Caenorhabditis elegans: one gene and its partners. The protein of the gene in region 4 purifies or fractionates together with the protein of the main gene of each other region. This does not show direct contact. Each region holds a gene or a part of one and is shown on either strand. Other genes may lie near its edges. The genes, in order: B0222.5, C25E10.8, F28H7.3 and rnst-2.

Region 1 (7,666 bases), 8.1 Mb from region 4:
TTTTGTTTTTCTCCATTTTTAAACGTTTTATTTTTGTCTGAAATTTATCACCTGCCAGATTGAATTCTTCAAAGAACAATTCACTTATCGGTTATATTTGTGCGGCAACTTTACTGTTTTTACCATGCCTATAATACTCGGGTCTTCTGGTCTAAGTAATGTTTGTTTCTCCGTGAATAAATTTTAATTTGCTTAATAATAGATTCTTACTTTGAAAGCTTCATTATTAGCAAGCATCTGAAAGAATCTGAAAATTCATAGAAATGGTATAACAGTACTAATTTGTGTTCATCGGTGATTTTTTTGACAACTGAATATTCTTCATGAACTAATATTATTATAAATGCAGTTATAATCATTCCGTTTACACTTTATGCGAAATTTATTCCAGAATATTGATTTTAACATATAATTGTTGATAATTCCTGCCTACGGTAAAATTGTCTCATCCTCCCAACCAATCATCATTGTTTTCTGTGGATGTGTTTCATTCAATGGCCGAATACCGTTTTATTGTTTTAAAACGGGGAAAATGTTTCAAACACCAAAACACAGTATTAAACTACTCAAACTTTTTTTTCTAATTTTTCAGCAACGTTTGTAGACTGGGACCAATTTTCTTTTTTCTTTTTTTTTGCTCACGATTTACTACCAACTTATTAAAATTAAAAATTTAGTTTTAAGCTTTTGAAAATAGAAAAATATACGATCCTATCACACAATAAAGCAAATTTACCGATTGAAACTTAGTACTGCATGTTAATATATAAGCTATACACCAAGTCTTAATCGTTGAACATCGGGCCTATTAAAAACGCCGTAATCTCTATTCTGCACTTCATTTCTCAATTTTGATAGTTTATATCTTGTTCTGGATTTTTTTTTAAATTATGGTTCAAATCGAAATGTTTTTAATAGTTTTTGCTCGAACTTTTATCGATTTTTCGAAGTCTCTTCGATTTGTAGACTGTATCATTTTAAAGGAGGAGCAGCACAAGTGAGGAAAGTATATGAAACTACTGCTATGGTTTCAAAATTACCTTCAAAATTATTGTTGGAAAATTTTTAGTTACTGTCAAAAAGTGACAATTACCAATTTTTTTCATTAATAATTTTGGAAATAGACCAAAAGAAATTATTTCTACGATTTACGAATTTTATAATTTTGTTTTTATTCGTGTAAAAAATTCTAGGAGTGGAACATGTGACATTGCTTTTTATTTTCTTAAAAGATTGTATTGTTTAAAAATTTGGCAATCCGCCAAAATTTTGACTGGAAGTTTAAGACAACAAAATCTTTAACAAGATCCCCACTTGCACGTTTTTCTCAATTTGCATATAGGGCAATTGAACATTTTCGAATTTTAATTTCAAGCTCTTTTGATCAGCATGTACTTTGAATATCTCCATGTGTTCACTTCGGAAACGTACTTTGAACTGATCCGTCTTTCATGTTTTTAAAAGTCACGTTAATATGAACATTTGATCTGTTGAACTAATTTTCTGCAAACATACGGATAAACCTATATTTCTTGTTTTATTTAGAGAACTACACTGAACTAAGACATCAAAAAACAATCTTGATAAGTTTAAACGAGATCCTTCGTTTTCTGCTTTAAAATATTCAAAAAAAAGTTACCTGACTATGAGTTTTATTTTTGATTATTCTTCTTTCTACAATTTAACAAAACAATTTCTGAAAATACGTTTAACATTTTTTCAATGTAGTTACGCGGCTCATTTAATAACTTTTTCATCAGCGTCCATTTTTCAAATGAATTTTTTTCTAGAAAAAAAAATTACAGTTGTTGTGCCGTAATAATTTTTTCTTGAGCAAAGAATAGCCCAACAACTGTTTCAGTTGCATATTTCGAGCTAGAAAAGTCCACCGCAGTTTAGTTTTGAAGCCTTCGATTATCGTATTTTAGCGTTTTGTAGCATATTCCACATAAAGCACGAAACTAAACTGGAACATTTGTGAAATCATCAATCAAGTCATTTTTGGGTACACATCATGTCTGCGGAGACATTGAGCGAATTCAAATAGACCAAGTCATCATTCCGATTCATTTGTGAAAATTCGTTTTCTGCTAGAACTGTGATCACTCTATTTTTAAATTCTATTCGCATCAAATTTCAATCACAAATATACTTTGTTGCTTGCTGCATTTAACACATTTTTATGGGGTGAACAGGACACTATCAGAAATCAACAAGTATCTAGTATGGTCGAAGACTTTGTTTCGGTGCAGTTTTCTGAACATATTTCTTTTAGGAGGGAAAATGAATATAAAAGATATTGATATCACATAGGCATCAATAATCAATGCTATGAGAAGACACGTTTAAAGTAGGGGGCCGGCAATTTGTCTGGGTGGAAAACCAACACAGAAGAAAAGGACAGAAGAGATGAAAGGTCGTTTAATATACATTACATATCATTGTGAAAAACAAAAGAACTACAAATACTTTTTCTTATTTATTACAACCTGAATTAGAATGTGAATTGAAGGGCGGTTCGAATGGGCAAGAAAACAAACGTCAAAACACACATATTAACGCGGACAACAATATGCAAAAAACTCGTTATGTTCACAAGTATGACTGCTTGGACAGAATCTATCGGAACATGATTTTCCGAGCATTGCACTCGACCAATCGTCCTGTTTCGTTTGCAAAGCTTCTTTCTTGTTTTTGCATAATGGTTTGAATGCTGCTTGGTAGCGATCTGGAAACTTTGTGTTTTGGTTGTCGCTAATATGATTACTTACTTGTCAAGTTCTCCTCGCAGCAAATACCAAAGAATGCTCCCATAGAACAAATATATCCCTTTGGACAACCATCAGAGGTTAGTTTTGGGCCTGGAGTTGTAGTAGTCTTGAAGCCTGAAAAATATGAAGCAATATTTCAGTTAGTTTTTTTAATGTTCATTATTACTTTAATAAAGTTTTAAACTAACTAATACTCGTTTTTAAAACATTGTATTTCTAACGTTTAAACAGCTCAGATCCGAAAAACAGGATCCTTTAAATGAAATAAAAAATAACATTTTATAAACCGGAATTGTAAGTTTCGTTTTTCACCACAAAAATTTGTAGCTAATTTTCAAATATTATTTATGCAGTAGAAAGTTCGAAAGTTTTATTAAAAAACCATCAATCTCAAAACATACCTGGTGGACCATCTGGGCCTTCTGGGCAAGAATACCATTGTCCATTCGACTTTCTAGCTGGTTGTGATTGCATTGCACAACTGAAGTAGTCTTCTGAAATAAAACTGCATTCAATTATCGTATTTGATTTTTGAGTTAAAAATTGAATTTTTGAGTTAAAAATTGAATACGTCAATGAGGGGCTCAGAGTTTTCAAACTTTTGGGTCAAAAATGTATGAAACATTTTACAATTTTTGGTACCATAGGCCTACTTGTGATCATTTTCCTTGGTGAACGTCACTTATATTCATGAAAACAATACGTGGATAACTTACGCAAGACACAGTCAAAATAGCATTCACTACTTGTTCTATAGGAGTTCTGATTTCCACCACAGCCTTTGTGTTCGAATGGGAAACATTGGAAGGTTTCAACGTCAAACCAGTACTAAAAAAAATATTTGCCCGATTTTTTATTAGGTTTAAAATCAACTTACTCTTATCGAAGTTTTATTTTGATTGCATGTATGTCCAGCATTTCTGTTACTTGCACACCATGGTTTTCCAATCGGTTGATCATTTTTCGGTTTGGCAGGATCTGGTTTTTCAAAAGCGGGGAATGCTGACGAATCGATGGAGAAATCTGAAATTATCGAATTATTTTAAATTATTCATGATTTTGAACTACCAATTTGCATGCAATTCATCTTTGTTGTGTTACTCAATGGTTTTCGTGTCCCTTGTATTTCTCTTCCAGTATTTGTGTCCACGCAGTAGCATTGGTTCTTCTTACTGTCACATTGTACAGGCTCAAAATCACCTTAAATACTTATATTTTATCTTTAGCATTATTTTTTCATACCTTTTCCGACGTCACATTTTGGTACGAAACTATTTTCTGGAGGATCTCCGTCGGCAAACAGCTTTTGGAGGTAAACAAGGCAAGCTGAAACGATAAACGTCACTTTTGGGAAAACTTAGGAAATTGAATGGTCTCTACTTACTTCCACATTTTGGCGCGGTTTTCGGATTGTTGGTTCGTGTGTCGTATGCAACAAGTGCAGTGTGAGGAGTAACACAATAACATGATTCAGAGTTACATTGTACAGTTTCATAGTATCCTAAAATTATGAATAAATTAATATAATTTAAAGTTTAGAATCACCATTTTCATTGCATTTTAGTCCATCATCATTCAACGTGCATGGTCCAGTTTTTGGGTTTCTGTAATAAAATATTACATTTTTATAATAAATTTGAAATAAGCAAAGTAATGTTGAAAAATTAAAATTTCCACCAGTTGCTTCAACACTTTATTAATATAAAATTCTTAAACAAAACTGTTATTTTTTTAATAGTGGACACCGAACTGTTGAAAAATATTTTCACTTACTAGGGTTCTAATTATTTCAAAATTGGTTTTTCATAAATTGTGCCTAACAATTTTTGTTCCAAAGAACTAACCTGGCTCGTAATAATCTGTCTCCAAACAGAGCATTGACTTGGGTGAATCCAACAAGTAATATTATGCAGAAAGCTCGCATGCCGGAAATCAAAAAATTGCGTTCGAAGGAATGATTGAAACGAGGAAATGAATGAAGGTAAATAATAACTAGTTAGTGAAACAAACATTATTTGATTTTCGAGAACAAAAAATAGTAAGAGCTATGAGTTGATCATTGAGTGATCTATTGTATTTGGGAATTACTGGCTTTTGGTTATTTTCATCACTCGCCGATGAAATTTTATGTAAGTTATTTTTATGTACATAAATTCTGTGCATATGAAATAGGTGAATCAAAAAGTGTTCACAAATATTTGGAAACATTAACAAAAATATTTCAAATAAAGGAAAAATTCGAGAAAAAAATAATTTTCTTAGGATATGAAAGCCAAGTTATATTCTTTCTTCTCTCCGAAGATTCAAAAAATCAAGAAAGATTAAAAATTGAAACAGTATCTTTTTTCAAAAGAAAAAACTAAGCAGTATCAGTGCTAGTTGAGAACAAGAAAAGGAATCAATTGCTGAACGAATCTTTGTTCGACGAAAAACGAAAAAAAAGGTTTACTTCCTTTTTATCATATTATGTCAACTACTAGAATGCAATGATCAATCGATAAAACTGGTACATTCTCTTATTCTCTTTGGATTCGTTTTTACACCAATAAATTTGGTTTGACTAACAGAATTACCTTTAGTTGAAAAAACATTTATTCGGGAAAAGAAGTGAATCATCAGAAAATAACCCGTTTTTGTCGGAATATTTTTTTAAATAAATAAAGTTCAAACTAATAACTAGACATAAAATAAGAAAATAAAATGAAGAATAGTAGAGACACAGGCCAGAAAGTGATTGGAGAAGAGTTACACAGATCAGTATTACAGCAACAGACTTTACTTTGTTTCGAAGTGACCACGCATTCGTCTTTCTGAAAAAAAGAAAACATTGAGAAAAGATTAAAAGAATAGAAAAGTCTAGAAGTTTCTATGGAAATCACTGGAAGAAAACGTTACTCACGAGTTTTTAGAATAAGAAAACAACAAAACGTTCTAGAATGAATTTCTATCACTAAGAATCATAAATTATACTTTTGAGAAACAATACGGGAATCGAGCTTCAAGTATAACATATAGGAATGTATTTTTCTAATATTTTTTTCAAAGACCGGAACCATTGTTAAGTGTCAGACGATAGAAAAATACGCTGTTTTTAAATTTAAGTTTAAATAATCCTTATTGTGATTTTTATTCACTGTTGGTCATTTTTTGGCAAATTGACAATACATACATTTAGATAAAACCGGCATTGACCCCACTCATTTTCTACAAGCGAAAGTGTATTCCGTTATTTTTCCATAGTTACAGTATGTAGCATTGGGCTTTGTCCGCTACATATGGGTTTTGTCCGCTTCTAGTATTTGTTTTCTGTTAAAGTTGACATTGCTCTTTCAATGAGTATGGTTTTTATAATTAATTTCCAGAAAATCTACACCAGGGCTGCGCCACATTCAATCTTTTCGACAATTTTTTTTCTGATTTTCACTTTGCACATTTGTTCTTTCAATTTCAAACTCGTTTTGTTCGCTCACTTTGCAAAACGGCGTAAAGTCATCACATCCGTAAGTAGCTCCGCCAGTTGGCTCTGTCGTTCTGCAAAATGAAAATTCCAATAAACTTGCTGCCTTTTCTTTTTCTTCTTTCAACCCACTTTATGCAATATTCTGTCTGACAAAGACGTTGTTTGAACGGCCTTCCATCTCCCGAGAACCCTAAAGAATCACTCGTCACGCACACGAAATGCTCTTCTGCTCATTCAACGTACCTTTAAAACACTTCACAGTAGTATCTGCAGAAGGCGGCAAAATGAAAAAGAAAATGAAAAGACAGATAATGACAGGGTGCACGCTCATAATTGTTTCCGTTCACTTGGTTTAATACGGAGTTCAACTGAAATTTAACTTTTTAGGAGTGTCATTTCCACAGAGTTTGAGATGAAGAGTTGAATTTAAAAGGAATAAGTAAATATAGTTTTAGATCAAACAAAATAAGAACAAACACTAATTCCATTAGTGTGAAGGAATTGGTTCAAGTTTTGGTTAGTTGTTGGCAATTTGTTTGAACTGTATGGTTTTTATGATGCGGATATTTTGTAATTTGAAAACCTGCTTTATTCAGGTCTCTTCACTTTATAAATGTTTCTAATTTGAATTTTCAAAACCCCTTGCAATATCACATATAGAATTCATTTTGAGAATTTTGTCCGCCTATAATATTGACATGCTGTCAAAGTTTCCTAGGATACTAGTTTTTACTTTTTTTTTTTCTTAATTTTTTTCTTTTCTTAGAAACTCTTAATCAAATGTATGATAGTCGGATATGAAGGAGTTATGAGCAAATGTTTGTAAAAAATTAAAGTTGAAACGAATAGATGCAGAAAAATAGGTTTAAAACTTGTTCAAAATATTTGCAGTTTCAAACTCGAAACAAAAAACCCAGAAATAGAAAAAAAAAGAATTCCAACACCTCCTCGTCTTCTTTTTTCTCTTTTTCTTTCTGGATTGTACTCTGTGATGAATTCATTGAACTGAAAACAATGTGAATAATGGATTAAAAAACGAGCCTCCCGGTTTTGTAAAAAGAGAAAAAAAAGAGGTTAGAAATTGCAACCAAAAAATGAGTGAAGCACCCAGGGGTTAAAGATGTTTTGTTTTGATATTTTCCAATGGCTCCTGTGGGTGAAGCTCCGAGGCTCTTAAACGTGGTGCCAAAACACTATGAAGTGCCTTCCGTTCTCCGCCTTTTTCTTTTCAGTCTGCGTCTCATATTCCAGGTTCTCTTGAGCAATATGCAAATGATTCCTCTAATTGGATAGAACTTGCTTGGTTCAAAGAAGAAGAATATGTGCTGGGGAAAAATGAGAAAAGTTTTCTGTGAGAAGGATGAATGAACCTTTGAAATGTTGCATATCTTGATTGATTCAATTTTTCTAAATTAAGTTTTCAACAATTCAATTG
Region 2 (5,983 bases), 8.0 Mb from region 4:
AAACTTTAGTTTAAAAAATACCTAGAAACTAGACAGGTGAATTGCGTTCAAAAATCATATATGATCTGCTAAATGTCAGCATAAAATGGATTCCTTGAAAAGTAATTTAGTAAAATCGTACCGGAATTCAGTGAAAAGTGATACAAGTTCGGAAGACAAAACGGGTCTCAATAATTTAGATGTGCAAAAAGCTTATTGACGTAAATTTTATGTATAATTATGGAAAGTACGTAATACTTTTTTGGTAACGCAGAATATCGAATAAATCTGCTCATGAAATTTTCTAACTTCGAAGTAAGTGCATTCTTAAAATCAAAGTTTTGATTCGATTTTTTTGGCAGAAAGGTATAACTCAAAAGTCCCGAAACAAAAAATATACATTTTGTTAACGGGCTTAAACAGACGCAGTTATTTAACTTCATAGTTCAATTCAAAAATGACGGCGGTCTCGAAAAAAAATTTGAGCCTCTCACTTTTTTGCATCATCGAAAATCTATTTCCTTTTGCGCATCGGTAGGTGTGAAATTTGAAGCGTCATTGAAAAGGTCAAGTTAAACGTTTTTTTGGCATTTCAAATAGTATAGACCTAAACGTATATATTATATTTGAATTCGTTTCATTTTTGAAGTAATATTGTAGTGAACTATAATATTGAGACATTCAGTTACGCACTATGTTTTGTCATACTTATTTCTTAGTATATGCATTTGATACAAAATACAAACTCGGAGGTTCAAAATTGTAGACTCGAGCATTGTCAGATGTGTATTTCAATAATTAACGTGTTTATAAATAATGAGCGAAATACTATGACGGCATGAAAACGTCATGTGTTTAAATAGAAAAACTAACAAAGGCGTCGAAAGTCAAAAGTTTCAAAAATATAAAGTAAAGGGAAAAATTAATTTCCTATAACTTTTGCCAAATTTTTTCTGGGACAAATGATATTGTGCAGAAATTGGCAGAACCTTTCTGACGCGTACCTATTGGTATTTATGAATGTGATTATTTTTATGTTTACGAGGTAGAAAACAATTGCAAATGCTCACGTAAAATAGCGTAGTCTTTCATTTTCCAGAATGTGCCTGGAAAAAACGCTGCTGTAAAAGAATCGTGATTTTTGAATTAAAAAGTTTTAAGCGTCTACGACATTTTCTAACCTAGACATTACAAAAGAATGATTGATCTTTTTTTGAATAATTTCCTTGCTTAAGTTTCTTATTTGTTTTTTGTGTGTATGTTCCTATATTAAGAAACCAAGTAGGGGATGAGCTCAGCTCTGCCACACGGTTAAATTTTTTAACGCATTTTTTAACGAATTTTTTTTCCAAAAAAATATATGATGCCAACATTTAAACTGTCTGTTTTTGTCGCTTTTGGAATGTTTATGAAACAACAATTGCCAATCCTAAAAAAAGTTTTGTGTGTAGCATCGAACCTATAAGACCAAATGAAATTCAATACTCTAGTGAGGTAATCTGTACCCAAAAACGAAAACTTTGTGTACTCCGATCGGACACAGTTTTCCATCGGAATGATATCACGATCACGGCATTGTTTGTGTTTTGTTCCAAAAAAGAAATATAAATTCGTTTCCATTTTTCCAGTTCATGGTAACCGAATGTTATTCTATTTGGCAATTTGTTGGTTTTTCTCAGAATATGAAATTCAACGATTTATTATCACAAATGTGAATACAAAATGTTCACTTTGGGCACTCCTTGAGTTCGGTGCATCTGTAACCGTTTCGGACAAAACCACTGGAACACTGGCAAACATTTACAATGCATTGTCTGGTACATGGTCTTGGTCCTGGTTTTTCACAAGTTGGCTCACAAGCGGTTCCGCATCGGAAGAATGTCTCATTTTCCGGACATTTGCTAGTTTCCTTGGTACAGGTGGAAATATCGACACATTTTCCAAGTGAATTACGCACAAATCCTTTCTTGCAGTCGCATGCGTTTTCAATACATTGAGCAGATAGACACACTTTCTGAAAATTAAATATTATAGGAGAACATGGAAAATTATAGATTACTGGAGTGTATCCGCATTGTGTCTCACAGTGATCATGGCATGCAACCATTTCCTCGTTGGCTCCACATGTCTCTGAAAAGTAAAATGTTTATTTTCCAGAAATATTTAACAATAATCATTTAAAAATAAACTTACTATTGGCAGCTGTCGCAGCAGCAATAAAACAGGCAATTATGACAAAAGTTCTCTAAAAACTCATTAGTTTTTGCATTGCTCTAATGAAAAAAAGAACGAACCATCACAGAAAGAAAAGTAATGCAGCAGTCTGATGTTTTCTTTTGAAATGACTCTATTTATTGTTCGAGAACACTAAATCACGCAGAGGACTCTAGTCTATCAAAACCGCCCTTTTGTTTGCCAGAGACATAGACATTGAAAAAAAACGATGACCAATAAATCCAAAAGATCAAACAGAGTTTTTTTTAGTTTTTCATGCCAGGAAAAATAATACTGATGTAACAATTGTGTTATCAATAATAGCACACAACTCCAGTTTCCTTCATCACACTTCTTTTTGAATTTTTTCCAATATTTGATGGTTTATTGAACTTGGAAATGTTTACTCAAAAACAAATTATTTTGGACAATCTTTCTTATCAATGCATCTGAGTCCATGACGAACGAAACCTTTGGAGCATTGGCAGACATTGACGATACATTGTTTAGTGCAAACTGTTGGATTTGGTTTCTCACAAGTTGCTTCACAAGCTGTTCCACAGCCAAAGAATGTCTCATTTTCTGGGCATTTTGTAGTTTCCTTGGTGCATTCAGATACTTCGACGCATTTTCCAAGAGAATTACGAACAAATCCGTCTTTACAGTCACATGTGTTCATGATACATTGCTCCGTGCAAGCTTTCTAAATTTTGAAACTTTCAGTAATGGGAGACACATTAAGTTAATTGTTACAGGGGTATATCCACATTGTGGTTCACATGTATTATGGCACGATACCAGCTCCTCATTGGCTTCACATGTTTCTAAAAAAATATTTATGATCTGGTAACCGTTCAAGTACCAAATCACATATATTTACTTACTTGTGGCGGTAGCAACAGCAACGATGCATGTGATTATGACAAGTATCCTCTGTAAGTGTATAATTTTTATATTAGAAAAAAAACTCAAAAACTCACCATTTTCACAATAACGAAGGGCAACCAACCGATGTTTTGCTTTTTAACGGCTCTATTTATTGTGCCGGAACACTAAAAAACGGCAGAACCGCCCTTTTTTTCGGAAGGGATGATACGAGAAACATGATAAGATCGAATGGGAGATATTATAGGTCTTCTCAATCTTTTGGAGAGAAATTTATCTTTCACCGGTCACGTATTTATTTTGTAAATTGGGCTCACAACAAAGGTTTAAAAATCTCGAAGAATTTGTATTCGAAAATTCAGAAAAAATCAGAAACACATTAAATCGAGAACCTTACGAAATTTCATTCCGACCAATGATTTTAATGAATCAATTCACTAGAAGATATCAATTTAAAACGTATCGCTTGGTGCAAATAGTTTTGGCTTGGCTCACTGGAGAGTATTTCGAATGTGTTTCATCCATAATTACCAACTTAACATTGTTTGGTTAACACTGACTTTTTGTATTCATTGTATTGCAACACGGAATAGTTCATAAGTTTTTTGGCTATTGAAAAGGAATACAAATATTATGTTAAAATTCGAATATTGTTATTTTTAAATTTTCTGAAAACATTAGCATGAAAACATCAATATTAAAATATGAGAAAAACAACTTTTTTTTTAATCATCGAAAATATTATTCAGTGGTATGTTGTGCAACACATACGTCCACAATTTGGCATGGTTTCTCCTCACAAGTCAGCTCCACAAGTTCACATTTTTCGTTCTCAGAGCATTCAAGAGTGCATTTGCCTGAATGAAAAATTTATGACTAGTATTATGTGCAGGTTTTCAGCGAATAATCACTGATGGTTAAATTGGTTAAAGTCTAGTAATAAATTTTGAAGCTTACTGCATTTATTTTTCTCCACACATTTTCCAGTTGCCGAGTCTCTGACGAGTCCTTTCTTACACTGGCAGACGTTTGTCATACACACCAAATCACATTCCTGAGAAACAATTTATGATCATACATAATCTCAACGTTGATTTACTGGATTCTCGTTATCACATGTCGGTTCACACGCTGAGCCACACGCCTTGAGCTCTTCATCGCCCTCACATTCCGGTTTGCGGATTGCTGGAAGTTTCCAAGAACCACTGGATATTTTTGGTTTCACTACACTTACGGATTGGCACGCACTTTGGATCAACTGAACAATCGTCTTCAGAACCACATTCCAAGTCACTGACTGGCAGTTCGCATCTGAAAAAATATTTTAAAATTTATAATTGGAAATATTAAAACCTATAATTATCAGGACATTTGATAGAACCACAGAGTGCGTCTGTGTGAGAAATGGGCATGTTTTCTGTGTTTTCTGAAAATAAGTCATTTGATTTTTAAATAAAACCTTGGTACTCACTAAGAACTCCAGATCTAGCAAAAGCAAGAAGAGCAAAGAAAATAAATAATTGAAAATTCTGAAAAAACACACTTTCATTTGTTGTAAGATATGAAGAAAAAACCACTCACCATTTTGATGAAAGAATTTCTGAAGAAACTTTCGGAGTGGGGAAGTTATGAGAAGGAAGCAATCATTGAAATAAAATTGACAGGCGTGAGACCGAGGATGAGTCAAAAGATTAATGACTTGGTGAGACCGGAGAGAGTTCAGCCGACCGGAATATTTCTTGAGTGCTGTTTTTTTAAGTTTAAAAATATGTTATTTACAAAATTACTTTCTACGAAAGTACGCCTGAGAAGAACAAAGAAGTAACTGTTTTCGGTTTTTGCTTGAATAGACTCAAAATGCGCCCTAGGCAAAATTTTGGTAATGAGAAATCTCAAAAATTATGCAATTTTTTTGAGAAGTCTTATTATGAAAGTTGCCCATTTGAGTATTTTTATTATATACAAGCAAAAACTCAAGACTGTTGGAACAGAAGATTAACTGCTGGGATGGGCTTTGAATATATTCAAAATAGCTCCAAAAGCCAGAAACTTCATAAAAATAACTCGCAAAAATACTCAAAAACTGTGTACAGCCGTTCAAAAATTTTTAACGTTGTTTCCAAATTGTGAAAAAAATAGTAAAAGAAACAAACAATAAATATTTTGTCAGCTAACAATCTTTGTTTAGAACAAACGACAATTGAGATACGCTGATCAGCTGCCAAAGTCGAACAATAGGTGTGATTCTAATAGATAAAACACGGTACTTTCCAGTTCCAATAATTCCAATACCCCTAAATCTAATTCATTTATGAGAAGTCTCCTATTGAAAATTGATAATTTTAAACACGTTTATGTGGTTAGTTTGCTCTCAAAACAGTTTGCTCCGTCGAAAATTTTTTAAAAGAAGCTTTCAGATAATAACTTTTTGATTATTCAAGTACAAGTTTTGGCAAGTCTACAAACTTCTTGACAATTCCCTCAAGCTTATATATAAAAACTTTGGCATTGTTTGTTAGAAATCGTTTGGTTATTCTGACATTTGAAAATTGATTTATTACACTGTATGAAATTCACAAAATTCCATCACAGTGTCGATTTTTTTAGCAAAATACAATTTGAATGATCTCTTGGATTGCTTCCTTCTGGACATGCAAAAATCTTGCAAGCGGGGCCAACAGGACATGGCTTGTTAATACATGGAATAGGCACAGGAATACATATGGATTGACCGTAACATGTTACAAAGTCACATGCATCTGGTAGTTGTGAATGTGAATATTTAGCCAGAAATATAAAATAACAGAACAGAAAAAGTAACTTCATTTCTATAAACTGAAGTGAATGAAAACAATCAAAAAGGAAAACATGGGAAAATGCATTGCGTGACTACGAAAAATAAAAG
Region 3 (6,573 bases), 9.7 Mb from region 4:
TCTTGCGAATGGGAATTTTCATTAACAACAGTAGGAATTGCAGTGGTTTCGAGCTCGGAAGACAGATAATCTTCAAGTCTTGAATCTTCTGCAGGCGGTTCTTTTTCTGCTGAAAAATCTATTTGACCTACATAAAATGCGATATATTCCCACCTCTGAAAACATCGAAAATTGATGCAATGAAAAATAATCCAATTATTATAGCTCCAGAACGAGACATTTGATAGATGAAAAGAAGTTTCTCTGGATAACAGACAACAAAAACTGTGAACACATGCTGTGGCGCGCAATTCCCCGTGGATTTACGTATTGGTGATTCTCACGCGTAATATTAAAGACAAGGCATTTTTTTTAAAAATGAGATGCATGACTTTCATAGTTAGTATTTTTACATTTTATTTGAAAATGCATAAAGTTCCAAATTAAAAAGTTAAACACCAATTAAAAAATTTGTTTCAATTATCTTCAGAAATAAATGTTTTCGACGCATTTTTCAACAGTTTCATTATGAATTTTGCAGCTTTAAGATTAAGTTTTGGTATTTTGAAATCCGAAATTCTAATTGGAGTTTGGAATCTCAACTATTCTCTAGTTCTGAGTTACTTTATGATCTTCTTATTTAAGGTTTCAAATATTTGTGGTCTACCACCCAAACAAATGATTTTCGAGCACAAAGTCACAAAATATGAGCATGACAAGGCCGTCGTCTTATTTACTTTTGTTTATAATACATTCTCAACCTATCTGCGTCTTCTTCCTCGGTTCAAATATATAATAGTTTGTGAAAAATTGAAACTTCACTCGTCAACTATTTGATTCGAATAGTATGTCTCGCTTCACTGATAAAGTTGCTATCATTACTGGTAAGTTCAACATTTTTCAATATTTAATCAAATGAAAAGTTTAAGGTTCATCCAATGGAATTGGTCAGGCAACAGCTCGTCTTCTTGCTTCCGAAGGAGCAAAGGTTACTGTAACTGGAAGAAATGCTGAGAGACTTGAAGAGACGAAGAATATTTTATTGGGTGCTGGTGTTCCAGAAGGAAATGTTCTTGTGGTTGTCGGAGATATCACCCAAGAAAGTGTTCAAGAAAACCTGATCAAGTCAACTTTGGATAAATTTGGAAAAATCGATATTTTGGTTAATAATGCTGGAGCTGGAATTCCAGATGCTCAAGGCAAAAGTGGAGTGAATCAATCAATTGACACATATCATAAAACATTTGAATTAAACGTGCAAAGTGTAATTGAAATGACACAAAAAGCACGCCCACATCTCGCAAAAACTCAAGGAGAAATCGTAAATATTTCTAGCATTGGAGCTGGACCAGCTGCTGTGAGTTTGTTGTATACGTTTAACTTAAATATAACTGTAACTGATTTCAGCAAGTAGCATCTCCATATTACTCAATTGCAAAAGCTGCATTAGATCAATATACTCGTACAGCTGCTATCGATCTTGTTCCTGAAGGGATTCGAGTTAACTCCGTGAGCCCTGGAGCTGTATCTACTGGATTTTCAGCTGTTTCGAGAGGTCTGACAGAGGAAAAATCAAAAGCTGTAATTATTTCTTCTAAAATAATGTAAAATCTAATATCATTTCAGTTCTACGATTATCTCGGTGCTCAACGGGAATGCATTCCACGTGGATTTTGTGCAGTACCAGAAGATATTGCAAAAGTGATTGCCTTCCTTGCCGATCGAAACGCTTCCAATTATATTATTGGTCAAACAATTGTTGCCGACGGAGGAACTTCACTCATTCTCGGAGCTCATGCTCACGGGGCTAAAATGATGCAAGCTGTTTTCAAAGAACTTTGACTTGTTCAACTAATTGCAATATATTAAAAGTTTAAATGTTAATTTTTTGAGTTTCTGAAAAAGAACATCGTTATTTAATTAGCCTGTTTAAAATCTGCAGGCAGAATACAAACCACTGGACAAGAAAATGCTGGGACTGCATCTAAATTACCCTAACTCTTGACAATGTCATCCAAACTAAAAAAAACAGAAGGTTTTGGGTAAACTGTTTCAAAAACTTTGATCAAACTTGCACAAGGCTCGGATTCTGTTTCAATTTTTGTTTCAGTGGCTTGCATCAACGACAACAAATTATACATAGTATACAGGACCTACTCTTCTTTCTGATCACTGAATTAGTTTTATGGTTTTTGCCAATAAAAATTTACTCCAAATTTCAAAAAAAAAATTTTTCATCAAAATCAAACATCCCAATTTTTTAAACTTTACAAATTGACTCATTTATGTTTAAAAAATAATATAAACACAAAAAATTGATAATCACCGTTCAAAATTTGACTGAAATTCTAGTTTTAAAAAAATCTTTGAAAAAAAGCAAATCGTGGGCCTGGAGCCCGTTTGACAAATTCAATGACAGGTTTGGAGTCGGCGCCAAAAGACGTGATAATTTCTGTGAACAACACTGTGAGAAAACTGGAGCAATACAAGTGAAAGCAAAAAAATTCAGATTAGGAGCTCATATTTATTATGACATACAGAAAAATTCAAAAAAATACAAAATTTACTAATTTAGTTACATCCCTTATCTCCCCATGCACTGATATCCTTCTCAAAGTAATGAAGATGATCATCGATTGATGTAGTGATCCAGAGCCCATCAGAGCATCCGTTATCTTCATCACCGTTGCAGATAGTAAATTTTGCACCGCTCTTCATATTCTCACGGTAATAGACCTCATACTTGTTGTGGTAATATCCCATAAAGTCCTCATTTGGAACGTGTGGAACAACATCACGGTTATGTGTGACACGATAAGAGAATGCAAGTTGATTATCGTGAGCATGAGCATAATCCTTGTTTCCGGTACGTGGTTCTCCGTAGGTGACAAGTTTCACACGGGATCCATCAACCATTTTTGTTCCGATGACGTAAGATGCTGCGAGCGAAGCGAGTGATCCTCCGAGAGAGTGTCCAGACACCTGAACATTTTTTAATCATATAATTTAATAACTATTTGATTTCCATTTTTATTGACGTAACAAAAAGAGCAAATATTCTTATCAAAGTCATCAACTCACCCAAACTTCATATCCAGGGTTTGCGGCCAGAAGAGTTGCAAAGTCATCCTTCATTCCAGCAGCCCAAACTTTTGTGAAAGCATCTCCAAAATATTTAGATACTTTTCCTCCGGCGATCCAAGACATTTGTGATTCAAAGACACTCTTGTTAGCCTCAGAAATCAATTGGAAAAATCCTTGAGTTCCACGGAAACTTATTACAATTGCCTTATCGTTATGAAGAACAGCAGTGTATCCAGAGCACACATCGTTGCTCACTAAAGCACAGTTCTTCACATAAATTTGACGTTGAAGCTTAGCGTTTGTGAATTTAGAGTCAAGGCAATGTTGTGGATTAGAGGAATATGCAGCTGAAGCAAGAGCAAGCATTTGAGTTCTGGCAAATGCATCTGTGTAACTGGCTAGCACTGAAAATGTATGATGTGAGAGAGTCAGTGCCAAATTATTCGGAACTTACTAGAAGCTGGGAGGACAAGACCATAGGCGGTGTAAACCACGCAGAGAAGCGTGAAGAGTTTCAGCATTTCGGGGAGAATGAAGAAGACAAACTGACAATGTCAGATAAGTGGGACGAGTTTTTGTACTTGCCGTGATAAGGAAGTATTATGTGAAGAATGATTAGGAGGTTTAGAGACAGCTCTTTTCTCTTATCAGACGGAAAGGAAAACCGGCATGCTGCACACATTTCGTTGGAGAGATCACGAACGTGTGATGGAAAGTTTAAGCGGTTGTGAGTTCCGTTACCAAATTGATCTTAAAATTTTTTGAAATAAGAATTTTTAATGACGACACATTTTGTTTGCATAGTTAAAGTTTATATGGACATAAAACAATTGAGATCAAAGTGATAGTGATGAATTTCAACCCTTTTTATTCTTCTTACGGTCGATGAACTGCATAAAGAATTTGAAGAACATTTGTTAGAAGTTGGTCTCGGAGACGTAAATTGTACGTGGTATTTTCGTATGGCTTCAGTTTTTCAAGTACGTCCTTATTTCTCACCCACCATTTTCCCATATTTACATCTCGATAGTGCCTGAAATAAAACACTGTGATGGCTCAACATATGTAGTTTATAAGTGTTAGTATTTGGTGTTCGCACAGCCTACATAGATTTACGAATTGCTCATTTTCTCTTTTTAGTTAATTTGTTCAGACCTCAACCAAAACTATGAAAACGTCTTGTACTTCAACACATAGGTTCTGAATAAAACCTTTTTATTCAGAAACTACATTTTATTATTAGTACTTATCAAAAGGGAATGTTCCCGTAACTCCAACCACACCTATAGAGTGGATAATGTCCCCATTCTTCCATCCTCCACAGTCCGCGATTTAGGTCTTATCACGGATTTTAAATTAAACTTTGAACCTCATATTATAAAAATTAGCTGCCTAGCCATGCTAAGGGCTAAGCAAATTCTCAAAGCGTTCTCCTCTAACTCCCATAAGTTTTATAGCCACTTATTTAAAACATACGTTGCCCCCATCATAAACTATTGCTCTGAGATCTACTCCCCTTCCCCCAACTCCTCACTCTCTGCCATACTTGAAAAACCGCTTAGGACCTTCACCAAACGCGTCCTGCAAAGGTGCAACGTTAAATTCACCTCTTACGAAAACAGACTGTGCATCATGGAACTATTCTCCACCAGACACACAAGAATTAAAGCTCAAATGAAACTATTATATAGACTTCTTACCGGTTCTACTCATTTCTCTAAATTAACTCAGTTTGTCAAGTTCTCTAATTCCAATAGGAGACCCATGATTCTGGTTAGGAAAGACACATGCACCTCTCATTTCTTTGCCAAATCCATTCCTATTTGGAACAATCTTGTCAAAAATATACCGGTATTTCTCTCCCCCTATCAGTTTTCAAACTTTCTCGATCTCAATATTCCCCGGTATTAACTTTTCTCCGCTGGTTCTCTTTGACTTCTAATTGATCTCTTCTACCACATTACCCTCTCTCTCCTTTCCCGTCCCAAACTCGAGACGTACTCTTTCTGGGTTAGTCTCGTTTTACCGTTTTATTTAACACTCAAAATTCAATTGTACAGTTGTAAATTGCATTAGTTATGTTAAATAAATCAAATCAAATTCAATGTTCCTAACCGTTCTCTTAAAGGAGCACTAACGTACTATTTTAAATTTATAGATTTAAAATGTGCTCGAATAAACGAATTTCGTAATGAAACTTCTCAGAATAATTTTAAAACTTTTTTACGGCGTTGCAAAATCCAAAATTAAGCTAATTTTCAAATTTATTCTAAACTTATTCTAAACTAAGTTAGTATTAATGAAAATATTGAAAAAATTTGTTTTAATACCTTATATATCCAATTTTCGGATCAAGAATCAAAGTCTGATAATTCCCATTATACTCTCCGACGTCATGAATCATCATTTGTAATACTTTTTGATTATTCACTATCATTTTTGAGAAGCAATGTTTTCCATCTGTACAGTTGAGCCATGGTTGAGTTGTAAGTTCCCATTTCCTTGACGGCATTTCTTGCATTATCTGAAAACAGAATGAGCGATTTCATTTACAAAAATCTGTACTCTTTCAATACCTGTACTGGATTAATAAACTTTTCAGGCAGCTTTTCATATTTGAATATCCAACGCTGTGGGAACATAACTCCTCCATACTTCTCACTGACTGAATCTTGTAAAAAATTTCGAATAGTTGTCTTGCTATCAGTCAAAATGATTCTCTCGTCAATGTCGGAAAAGATTGTCCAATTGGCTGATAATTGGTTTCGCAAGTGACAGTCCTGAAAATATCTGAATTTTCTTGAATTTTAGGACTGTATTTCCCCCATTAATCACACTAGCATTATTTTGAGTTTACAACATCTTGGTTGGCTTTGGAGTTCAAAAAAAGTGTAAAATTGGTATGTTGAATAATTTGTTTATATTTAAACAGTTGAACTGATCTTATAGAAAAATACGGTAGTTGCTTACCGCAATTGCTAGATACTGTTGAGAGACTGCATCAAAGTAGATTGAAGGAATATGAATAATTTCAACTTCATCTCGAAATGCCATATAGTGTTGAAGAACTGACATATCATACAATTCGATTTCTCGGATGTAAAAGTAAAACTTGGTGACACCCTGAAAAGTAAAAATTTGACAAAGCGAGACAAAAATTTTATGCCTGAAATAAACATAATCAGTTTTGAAAAAAAATCGACTCGGTACATGTACGAGGTAAATGAATGCCTCTTTAATAGCAGGTAAAATGGTTGTTTTAAAAACTTTAACGTAAAAACTTAATATAAATAAACTAAGCTATCTATGCAAAATTTTAAGCAAACCTGTAATTTATAATGCTCGATCATTTCTACCAGATGCATCCATTTCGGTTCTTGTCCAAATAAAGGAGCCGAACAATGAGTCAACATTCTTTTGTAACTTGCTGAAAAATAATCGAATTACACATTTTGTATTGATGAAATATTTCAAACCATTCCATCGAGTAACAATCATCTGAAATTGTTC
Region 4 (10,663 bases):
AATTCTGAAAAACACCAAACATTGCACCTTCAAATTTTTCAAAAAAAAAGTGCCAGGTACAAACTTCACCGGCTCAACAAATTCTGAGCTGACCACCGAATTTTCACTGTTTCTAAGCCAGCGCGAGTTATCCGGATTTATTTTGATTTTTGAAGTGCTAAAAAAAGCTCTCGTCACCTTAAAAAAAATCAAAATTTGGAGAAATTTTTTTGGAAACTGCAAATTTAAGTTGGGGTGAAACTTTTTTTTCAAACATAAAAAAAACAAACTATCAAAAGCTAATCCTCACTTGTGACCAGCATCAGGAAGGGATTTTGAGGTTTGTGTTTATCTAAATTTTGCAATGCGTATAGGTAGGCAAGAGGTAGGCATAAGATAGGCACGTAGGCAGGCATAGCTAAAATGTGTTGGCAAGCGTGAGGTAGACACTTAAGAAAATAGACTTGACAGGGGTAGGCATATGACACCTACTAGGCAGGCACAAGGTAAATATTCAGTCAGGTAGGCATGAGGTAGGTGAGGAATCGAGCAGTGAACAGGCATCAGGCAGGCATCAGTCAGGCGGACATCAAAAAACATATGCAAAAGTTGGGTCCTTTTTTTTATTGAAATCAGCAAAAATTATACAAAATCCGAAATATTTTAATTTCCAATATTTTTGATAGCGCTCCAGATTCGTCCGAAAATAGATGGCGATGTGGAATCAGAGGATTTAGAAATGCTGCTCATCTCCGGAAGGTAGATGAACTCGGCGGGGCATGGCTGAAAATTTGTGAATTTTTGTTAATTTATAAAAAAGTTTTGTACTTTTTATCAAAAAAATAAATGAAAAAACGTGGACTTGAAAATCACCCTCAAAATCGCAAAAAAATATTTGAACGTTTTCCACGACTCACAAAATTATCGGAAAAAAATTTATTTCAAATTTGCAAAACTACTCTTCTCAACGAAAGAAAAATGAAGTCGATTCAAAATACTATCGATGAGCTTCGCAAACTTTCCGGTAAGAAACTTTGAAATTTTTGGATTTTATTTTAAATTTAATTTTTTTCAGCGGGAAAATCATCTGAAGAAGTGCAACGTTTGAAGGAAATGCAGAAGCACTCGAAAATGTTTGGCGAGATTTTTGGAGTCTACGGAGCAACGGTTGGAAAACCAAAGCCGTGAGTTTCCATTTTTGGAGTTCTGACGGTTACGGTTGTCTGGCTCTGTGCATTTGCATGACTGAAAAAGGGAAATACAAGTTTCTAGAGAATTCCTATAATTCCATTCTTGAAGCTTTTTGGTTAACCTTTTTCGAGAAACCACGAGCTTCTGGCCTTCCTCAATGCATTTTTCGCGCTCTATTGACAAAAAATTGCCTGCCGGACAAAGTGTGGGAAAGTCGTGTACGCCACACGGACAAATACCTATAGATTTACAATGAAAACCGAGCCACGAAACGCAAGGCGACACGCGACACGCAACGCGGCACGCAACGCATTGTAAATCGACCCCAGATGTGGCAGAGCGATAATGGTCTAATTCGGCGAACTCTTACATTTAAAAATTTGAGGAAAGCCAGAAGCCCGCGTAAATAGCAATTTGGAATAAGTTCTAGAAACGTGGGAAACTTGAGAAAATTCTGGAACTTTCTGGAAACTTCATTTAAAATTCTGAAATATTCACGGATTTCTGGCTTCCCTCATAAATTGAAATTTAAGAGTTTGCCAAACTAGGCCATTTTGGCTCGGCCATATCTAGGGTAGATTTACGACGCGTTGCGTGTCGCGTCGCGACTCGATTTCAGTTGCAAACTAAGTGTATTTGTCCGGGTGGAGTACACGACTTTCCCACGCGCTGTCCGGCCTTGTCAATGGAGCGCGAAAAATTCAGTGAAGAAGGCCAGAACCCCGTGAATTTTCTGGAATTTTCTGAAACATCCAGAATTCCATTTAAAAATCGCACTTCCTATGCAATGACTACCGTAAACCCACTTAGCACAGATTGCTGGAAAGTTCAAAAATGTTAAAAACTTTCTTTCAGAAAAGAGAAGGAGGTCAAAGTTCCGACAAAAGAAATGACATTCGAGGAAAAACGAAAGCTTCTCGAGACCACTTTCCCCAATAAAGTGACTCCGGGGCAGCGTGCCAAAGCACGTGAAACTCTCAATTTCATTGCTAACAACCCGGTAAGTTCCGACTATGCAACAGCGCTCTAATTGACAATTTCAGGAAATCTATGCAATCGCATCTCCGCAGGATCCATCTTCGAAGGCTAAAACTGATCCGGTGTCCCGTCCCCAGCTCAATATAATCAGTTCGTTCTCTTGGCCGATCACTTCCGGCTCGGATTGGTCTCCACACGGAAGCGAATTCAACGATTTGACTGCTCCGAGAGTTGGGAAATTGACACCGGTGAGTTCAATTCTATTTTTTACTAGGGACGCAGGCGACGAGATGCCTGCCTGCCTCGCCTTCTGCTAAAGATTTTCATAAAATGCAGAAAAAAGGCGAGAAGCAGGTGGGTTTCAGGCCGGCCAGCCTACCACAGAAGGAACGTTTCAAAGTATGCGAATGCATAATTCCAGCAGCCGACAACTGCCTAGTTCAACATGCAATTTTGCAGGTCCCCCAGTGGTCCGACATGAAAAAGTCGTCGTTGAAGCTTGGTACCGAGGACAACTTCTCCAAAATGTCATATGATCCGGCCTACTCGAATACTACCCAATCTCAATCTGTCACAACTCTCTACAATGAGACATCTACCCCATACTATGATGATTCGGATTTGGGAACTCCGCTGCATACTTGTGTTCAATAAATATTTCTAGGCACCATGTAAAAGTTCCGAATTTTTTGTTTTGACAGTGGAAAAATTCGAATAAAAAATCCGAAAGTATCTCGAGAAAAATTTGGTCTGAGAGTTTTGAAAACTGTCAATTGCCGAAAAATCTTGAATCGGCAATTTATTAAATTGCAAAATTCCAACAAAAAATGAAGGATTCGGAATTTTGGAAAAGGTCAAACAAAATTTTAAATCGTAACCAACCTGGAAGCTTGGAAGTGGTGGCCCGCGTCTATTTCTGCCAATTGATCTCTCGAATCTGCTGACTCGATTCGGATGTTTTCCATCAGTCGGACAGTCTCGGATTGTCAAGTCCTTGTTGAGACACAAGCGAATGTCACCGAGAAGGAACTGTTTGGTCTGAAATTTAATTTTTTAGCATGACAATTTTGAGGCTTAAAAGCGTACCTTCTTATCCCGGAGGCAATGGAATTGGAAAGTTTTTCCGCTGGTGACTCCGCTCAACGCGTTTTTCAAGTCGCTCGAGGTGATTGGTTTTTCCGATGGTCCAACTGATTTCAATCCTCCAGCCACATCGATAGAGTCGAAGACTTTCATTACCCTGAAAAAATTATGTATTTCTTGTTATTGATTAGTTCACTATAGAAATTTCATGCTTACCAAGACTGATTTATATATTTTTTTTAATTCTAATTTTTCAATGATTTTTCAACTCTACGAAATTTTTTTTAAGGAGATGATTATTTTTGCATTCCCGCGCAAATGAATGAACTATTTTTTGGAATTTTGAATTTGTGTGCATGTTCTGTTTACAAAGCTCGATAGTAAAATTCACCGACAAATAGTTTCCCAATCAGACAGAAATTGTATTAAGATTTATTGGTACATTCTTTGAAAACCATCATGTGTTTTTATCATTCGCCACTTGTGAATAATATTGTGAAATTTTTTTTAAAAAAAGAATTCAGTGATACAGACTGTGGTTGGTGTTTGTATAATATATTTAATTTCCGGTGCTTCATACAATATAAATCGTAGACTTCATTTCTTCATTACATACAAAAAATATTTCCCGGGCCGAACACTCTAATTCTCTCGTTAAGTCTTCGAAAAAGTAAGAATGAGATTGTACGATTTTTCTGAAATTTGCAGAAAAGTTGGGTTTTATGCCAGTTTCAGTACTAACTTTGTATTAATCTGGATTACTGTCTTTCACGCGAAAAAGCTTTTTGGAGCTTATAAGAAAATGATCATATATATCTCAGTTTTGAGCACAAGTTTCTCGGGACTAGAAATGATCATGAAACCGTTTACTCATAACTATAACGGTGCGCTGTTGTCCTTCAACTTATGCGAACTAAATATTCCACTCAAAATTCGGCAGATTTTCATATTAATTTGGTCCCAATTCTACCTAATTGTAATTTCATTCATATCTGTGCAGTTTGTGTACAGATATCTGTGCGTATTCAATGAACAGAAAACCAAATATTTTGACGGTCTTAAAACTATCATCTGGATTTTATATCCCTTGGTAGTAGGAACAATTTTCGCATTGTCCCTACACTATTTGTGTGGTTCTGATGAGTTCACAGATTCTTATATAAGGTGAGCAAATTAAGGAGCTACTGGCAAATCTAGATGTTAATTTAATATTCGTCATTTGTTTTACACGGGTAAGCGAAAGTATATATATGTTTTCGGTTTTTTTGCTGGTTGAAAATGTATATTGTAATTGAGTATAGCTCAAAAACTAGGAACTTCATAAAGAAAACTTCAACTAAAAAATTTTTGCTCGAAATGTTGTCTACTGAATAAACTACCGTATTTCCTTTATTAGTCTTGCAGCCTCTATTAGTATTGCATGCAAGACTAATAGAGAACTTACGGTGATAGTCTTCCATCCCTATTCTTGCCAGACCAGCAGTATTTTTTGAAAACTTCAACAATATCGCCATTTTATAGCTAAATTAAATTTTAAAGTGTTAAAATAATTGATAAAACAATAGAAAAGTATGTATTTTGCATGATTTAGACTATTTCGAGTCAAATTTTGACGATAAATGGCCAATTTCATAAAGCTATTGGATCTTCGAAAATTAGTCTTGCAGTCTCTATTAGTCTTGCACCCCTACGGGTCAATCAAAAATTAGTCTTGCATGCAAGACAAAATACGGTATGTTAAGATATTTCTTAACATGAAGGTCAAGAGATATAGCGGCCGACATTTTGTGAGTCCACTTTAAAGCATTTTTCTAGAAACGTTTTCTTTTTCAAAAATACAGTAAACTAGAGCTAACAGTAAAGGTTTGAACTAGCACTTTTCAAACACTGCTTTGCCCAATTGTTTAAAAACGTGGTATCATTTTTGAGTTTTTTTTTGTTGCTGTAATTACATTTCGTTTATCATTTAACTGAAAAAAAAGGGTTTACCAAAATTCAATAATCATTTTTAGAAATTGTTCGACTCGCAAAATGTCGGTCGCTATATCTCTTTACATAAATGTAATTTTAAACCAAAGTTTCTCATTTTAATTTTATCTCAAATTATTCATTACAGAAAAGCCATTTTTGAAAACTACGCACTGGAAGTATCCGAACTGCCACGATATGCAATGGTACCATATGCAGCTGATGGCTCAATTCGAGCGAAGGGTATAATTTTCTTACTCTTCGCAATTGTTCTCATCAGTTTTTCATATTGCATTATTATATTTACATGTGTTCAAATGCATCGAAATATGAAAAAAGAGCTGAAGAAATTCTCAACTCAAAATCAAAAACTTGAATATCAATTTTTCCTTGCTCTCGTTATGCAAACTATTGGACCAACTATTTTCTTAATAATACCAACTGGGCCGATATTGATGACCCCATTGATTGCACCAATTTTCGAACTTGAAGTCAATTGGCAAACTGGTAACTTGTACTCACTTGTTGGATTCTACCCATCATTTGATAGTATCGCTTTTATGATGATTGTTTCGGAATACAAAATTTTTTTGAAAAGTTATGGCATAATGATTGATCTAATATAATTGTTTTTATTACAGAAGTTATATGTTGCCGGATGAAGAATAACACAGCAGTGCCCAGTTCAGCAGTTGCGGTTTCAACTGTATAGACAATTGAACCATCTCATCAACTTCACAAATAATTATTTCATCAAACTTATTGAAATTAACATAAAATCATTATTTTTTTAATATTCGAATGAATACAGTTTTTTTCTTTATATGCTTTATATATTTACCGAATATTGTTATTTGTTATGTTATTTGTTATGATTTTGTTTAATTTTGCAAGAAAAAAAACAAAACATAAAAAGAGCTGAATTTTTTTTGAATTTCCGCGCGAATGAGTAGCCTAGTTTTTACTACTTAAAAAATAGCCAATTTTTCACACAATTCTTTAACAGTAAAGAAAACTTGATAAGCAGAAATAATTTTATGGGAACTGCCTCAAAAAAATCATGTTTCAAATTATAAAATAAAAAAAAGAAAGAAATCCCAATTAATATAGCTGGAGAGCGCAAAAATGCCAAAACTAGGTCTTCTTTTTTGGTTTTCAAAGTTTTGAAAGAGTTTAAATTCAGTAGATGTATCTACAAGTAAAACTCAAAATCATCGTTTAATTAGAAACAACTTACTCTGTGAAGTAAGCCAACTCTGACTCGAAGAGCTTCTCACTTTGAGCACATGTCCCGTGCTTATCATACTCGTGTTTCCAGAAGGATTGAATCGTCTTTTTAGGGTAGAGGTTTGGCCAGACAACTCTGAAAATTTAAAATGTTGTGATATTCAAAGTTTATTCCAAATTTTTGTAACTTACACCAATCGATCTTCAATTGATTTTATCAAATTCTCATCGAAATGTCTTGGAGTCCCACGACAATTTTGTGGGTACGAGCCATTCTCAAAGTTTGGCCACAATCCGTGAATTGACCATTGAGGGGTACCACTTGGAATCTCACAGGATTCAGGGACTGAATCATCATCGGCACGGCAGACGGCGGTTGGGTAGATTGTGGTGAACATTAGGTAGTCAAATGGCTCACCATCATGAGAATAGGCTAGGGGTATACAGGATATGCAGAGAAGAAGGAGAAGTTTCATTTCTGGAAATCTTGCGTGATTATTAGAAGTAAAAAAATAGATTAAGCATATTATCAGAAGCAGAAAAAAATCAAATGATATTTTTAGGTACACAGGTTCACTTTTTGTTTCAATTTTTCCGCCTTTTGGGCAAATTATTTTGAAAACTATTTAACAAAATTTGACAAAAATTCCACAAAGTCTACTACAATTTCAATATATACAGTTAAATTGGAAAAATTTAGAATGTTTTAAAATGCTAATAAATTCTGTAACTAATTTTTAATTTTTGACTCCAAATTTTCACCTGATTTCAAATTTAACAAAATTGAGATTTTTAATTTTATCTTCAAATTGCAAAATTACTTTGAGAGTTAATTGTAACTTTCATTGAAAAATTTTTTAAATCGTTTTCTTTCAATTTTTTTCAAAATTTTAAAACTTCAAGTTTTATTTTGGAAAATCCAACTCATCCTATAAATGCTCTTGGTTTGCGATAAATATAAGGAAGTTTTACAAAAAATAACACAAAAAAACGAGAAAAAGTATTGAAAATATACATTTCTGAATATTTTTGCCTACAAAAAATATTTTATTTAAATTTTTAAAAAATTGTATTTTTTTGATTTATGGAAATCAAAAGATTGCCAAATTGCAAAAAACAAAACTTTCAATAATCTAAAAAAACATCAATAAAACTTTTTGGAATTTTTCGGTTAGATTTTCAAAATTACAGGAAAAATTTGGTAAATTTGGTTTCTAAAATTTCATTTTAATAAGATGTTAAAAAGTAAGTATTGGAATAAGTTAAAAAATCCAAAAAATTATTTGAAAACAGCAGAAAAAGGACAATACGGATTATATTATCGACTGAAAATAAATCTGACCAAGAAACAGAACGCAATAATGTACGTACTGGAATGCTGGGAAGTGAGCAGTCTACTGGACAAAGGAGTGTCAAGTGACAGGTGCTAACAGCTGCCACATGATTTATTGTTGAGACCATTCAGATTTAAGACCAGATAATTTTTAATTAAGTGCAACTACATAGGATGGTTTTTGGTTTGAAAACTAATTTATTAGGAAAACAGAACATATTTGACCTCGCAGAAGAAACGCAAAAAAGAATGATACATATATCTTATCAAGAAAGTAGGTAAAGAAAAAACAATAAATGATAACAAACAGAGATAGTGTGACCTGAAAACAGAAAGTTTGATAGCGACTCAGCGTGGCCTAGAAATTGCGAAAAAGTTCGGCCACCAAGAATAGCGGCTAATATCAAACTAAAATGATCAAATGTAATGTAGAAATTTCAAAAGTTGATGTGAAATTTTCCGTCAAAAAACCTGAGCCACTTTTCACCCATCATTAAAAAGCAGGAAATAAACACTGATATTTTCAAATTTTGAACTTGTTTTAAATTATTGTTTTCAAACATTTTCCTCTGCAGAAGTGATTGAAGTTACTTGAAACCCCCTAACTTATCAAAACTTTAAATGAAATAATTTGAATTAGGTAGTTATTTAAGATAATTGTACAACATTAAACAACCGTATTGCCTCTATTACTTTTGCATGCAAGACTAATTTTTGATTGACTCGTAAGGGTGCAAGTCTAATAGAGGAAATACAGTTTTTAGATAAGTTCAACCGTGCATAATTACATTTTTAATTTGGCGCAAAAGTAATTTTTAGAGATATAGAAAAAAGCATGTCTGCTTCGTTATTTAAAAAAAACGTAGATATTTAGGCATAAGGCATGTCAGCTTACTTTGTAAATCTTAACATAAAAACAAAAATTATTACGACGTTAAGTTAATATGATACCCCCCAAAGTGTAATCACAAAAAGCACAAAATCAAACATTTTTACAAGTTTTTTAAAACTTGTTGCTGTAATGAAACGACTGATATTTAAACGAGGTAATTTAAAATTGTCAACAAATACAAAGTAGCAGCATTTCAGAAAATTAGAACTAGAGTAAAATGTTCAGGCCACTTTGATTTACAAAGGTTTGAAAAATCAAAACAGTTCGCTTTTCGGATTTTTTTCATAAATTATCTAATTGTAAACTTTTTTTTTGATTTTTCGATTTTCTGGCCATATACAAAATCGAAAATGTTCGTTTACAGTAGTCGCCTACGATAGTTTTCAATTTTGGTGATGAGCTAGCAATAAGCCTTGTTTTCACGTTTATGGTTTATGCCGGATGTATAGTTTTTTGTCACAGACATATTGACAGCATTGTATTTTTTAATTAATAGTGGTTTATAAAAGCTGGGCAAAAGAAAGTATTTTCAGTTTTTCATATGTTTTGGAGCTTTTGCATTTTTTGGTTCACTAGAAATGACTGCAGCACCTCAAAAAATCAGATAAATTAGCGGGGAAAAAATCCGGCAACTTTCAACTTTCGCACAATTTTTGAGAATTTTTTCAGTTTATCCAAGTGAAATAAAAATTATTTTTAGATGAAGAAAATTTTTTATTATTGAAATGCACACTATGAAATGCAGTCTTTTTGGAATATTTTGAGAGAAACTCTACTTCCCCATTGAGTTTCAAGTTCGAGAAAACATACCCACTGATATTATTAGAATCTCTAATCTTTACACTTTTACCTTTCAGAAAATGCTTGGCAAACAATGGAGTGATCTTCTGAAACTCATACAAGATGTGTCAGCAGGATTTTCTCTCATCATAAATACATTATTGATTTTCGTGATTTTGACAAAATCTCCAAAACAGTTGGGAGCTTACAAGTGTCTCATGATATACATCTCAGTTTTTGAAATCTTCTATTCAATTTTGGATGTGGTTTTGGTTCCGGTAAGCGATTCCATACTCCTCTACTGCCTTATAGGTAGTTTTTATAGCAACATTACTCCCACGGATCCACATTTTTGGTGATTGTCGGAATCAAGGATAAGCTCTTCAGCCCCGAGGTTCTTCTTTTCCTGAGCTCTTGCTACTGGAGATGCTTTGGAGCTTCGATGGCCGTATTTGCAGTCCATTTTGTCTATAGATGGCTTGTAGTAACAGAGTGAGCATTTCCAGAAAAAAATTCCCAAATATAAAAATTTATGCTCACAGGCACGCGTTACTCAAGAAGTTTGAAGGATGGAAAATCTGGCTCTGGTTTTCCATACCTTTTTGGTACGCGCTCACCTGGATTTGCACTGGATATATTCTATCAGCGCCAAACGGAAGAACTTCCAATTTCATTAGATGAGTTTGAAACAGGGGTGGGCGGCCAACGATTTTTTTTCGGGCAAATTGGTAAATTGCCGGTATTGAAAATTCCGGCAAATTGGCAAATCGGCAAATTGCCGGAATCGTAATTTTTAAAAATTCGGCAAATTGCAGTTTTGCACATTTTTTTTGGATATTTCAGGATTTGAATTTTAATCGGCAAAATTATACGCATACTATGAATGCTCCTACATCGATTTTCAAAAATAAAAATAAATTCCATGAAAATATCTGAAGAAAACGGGAAAAAGTTTCAAAAAGGCTCCGTTTTAAATGTTTCATTCTTCTTAAAAAATTACTCTAAACACTTTCGGCGAATCGACAATTTGCGAAAATTAAATTTTCCGGCAAATCGGCATACCGGCAAGTTGCCGACTTGCCGAATTTGTTGACAAAGAAATCTGCCAAGCGGCAATTGCCGCCCACTCCTAATTTGAATCGTTGTAAGGTTGAAAATCAATGGAAATTCAGAGAAAATGTCAAAGAGGTTTTTGAGCTGGAGTTCGACGAGTACATCTATCTCGGACCATT

Evidence for each region.
Region 1: the proteins of rnst-2 (region 4) and B0222.5 fractionate together in Caenorhabditis elegans (co-fractionation; one large-scale study listed by BioGRID). This does not show direct contact.
Region 2: the proteins of rnst-2 (region 4) and C25E10.8 fractionate together in Caenorhabditis elegans (co-fractionation; one large-scale study listed by BioGRID). This does not show direct contact.
Region 3: the proteins of rnst-2 (region 4) and F28H7.3 fractionate together in Caenorhabditis elegans (co-fractionation; one large-scale study listed by BioGRID). This does not show direct contact.

What each region holds. Positions count from the first base shown.
Region 1 is NC_003283.11:9,150,175-9,157,840, forward strand, and holds B0222.5 (BPTI/Kunitz inhibitor domain-containing protein), read right to left. Parts: upstream 4,699-7,666; 5' UTR 4,696-4,698; coding exon 4,616-4,695; intron 4,376-4,615; coding exon 4,317-4,375; intron 4,273-4,316; coding exon 4,156-4,272; intron 4,098-4,155; coding exon 4,014-4,097; intron 3,972-4,013; coding exon 3,840-3,971; intron 3,795-3,839; coding exon 3,649-3,794; intron 3,600-3,648; coding exon 3,488-3,599; intron 3,266-3,487; coding exon 3,173-3,265; intron 2,886-3,172; coding exon 2,772-2,885; intron 2,729-2,771; coding exon 2,556-2,728; 3' UTR 2,147-2,555; downstream 1-2,146. Other genes in the region: B0222.15 (Activin_recp domain-containing protein), read right to left, coding at 5,441-5,581, 6,242-6,302, 6,361-6,421, 6,475-6,562.
Region 2 is NC_003283.11:9,051,657-9,057,639, forward strand, and holds C25E10.8 (TIL domain-containing protein), read right to left. Parts: upstream 2,414-5,983; 5' UTR 2,277-2,413; coding exon 2,274-2,276; intron 2,225-2,273; coding exon 2,173-2,224; intron 2,110-2,172; coding exon 2,039-2,109; intron 1,994-2,038; coding exon 1,706-1,993; 3' UTR 1,606-1,705; downstream 1-1,605. Other genes in the region: Serine protease inhibitor swm-1, read right to left, coding at 2,612-2,896, 2,947-3,017, 3,078-3,126, 3,174-3,176; C25E10.10 (TIL domain-containing protein), read right to left, coding at 3,820-3,935, 4,036-4,132, 4,178-4,263, 4,313-4,389, 4,432-4,504, 4,550-4,607, 4,660-4,662.
Region 3 is NC_003283.11:10,747,118-10,753,690, forward strand, and holds F28H7.3 (Fungal lipase-type domain-containing protein), read right to left. Parts: upstream 3,672-6,573; 5' UTR 3,585-3,671; coding exon 3,518-3,584; intron 3,468-3,517; coding exon 3,061-3,467; intron 2,962-3,060; coding exon 2,551-2,961; 3' UTR 2,488-2,550; downstream 1-2,487. Other genes in the region: Thioredoxin reductase-like selenoprotein T homolog selt-1.2, read right to left, coding at 1-109, 154-220; F28H7.2 (DeHydrogenases, Short chain), read left to right, coding at 827-863, 909-1,336, 1,387-1,560, 1,606-1,821; gtnt-24 (Glycosyltransferase family 92 protein), read right to left, coding at 3,940-4,096, 5,394-5,587, 5,640-5,843, 6,034-6,186, 6,390-6,490, 6,540-6,573.
Region 4 is NC_003283.11:1,057,836-1,068,498, reverse strand, and holds rnst-2 (Ribonuclease T2 protein rnst-2), read right to left. Parts: upstream 6,905-10,663; 5' UTR 6,903-6,904; coding exon 6,619-6,902; intron 6,563-6,618; coding exon 6,437-6,562; intron 5,912-6,436; coding exon of another isoform or gene 5,841-5,911; intron 5,797-5,840; coding exon of another isoform or gene 5,348-5,796; intron 4,396-5,347; coding exon of another isoform or gene 3,908-4,395; intron 3,389-3,907; coding exon 3,235-3,388; intron 3,187-3,234; coding exon 3,031-3,186; intron 2,818-3,030; exon of another isoform or gene 2,803-2,817; coding exon of another isoform or gene 2,608-2,802; intron 2,397-2,607; coding exon of another isoform or gene 2,214-2,396; intron 2,171-2,213; coding exon of another isoform or gene 2,026-2,170; intron 1,164-2,025; coding exon of another isoform or gene 1,055-1,163; intron 1,004-1,054; coding exon of another isoform or gene 958-1,003; exon of another isoform or gene 931-957; intron 763-930; coding exon 643-762; 3' UTR 591-642; downstream 1-590. Other genes in the region: K10C9.7 (Homeobox domain-containing protein), read left to right, coding at 958-1,003, 1,055-1,163, 2,026-2,170, 2,214-2,396, 2,608-2,802; str-67 (Seven TM Receptor), read left to right, coding at 3,908-4,395, 5,348-5,796, 5,841-5,911. UniProt on the Caenorhabditis elegans protein: Probable endoribonuclease involved in the autophagy-mediated degradation of ribosomal RNA and ribosomal proteins in lysosomes.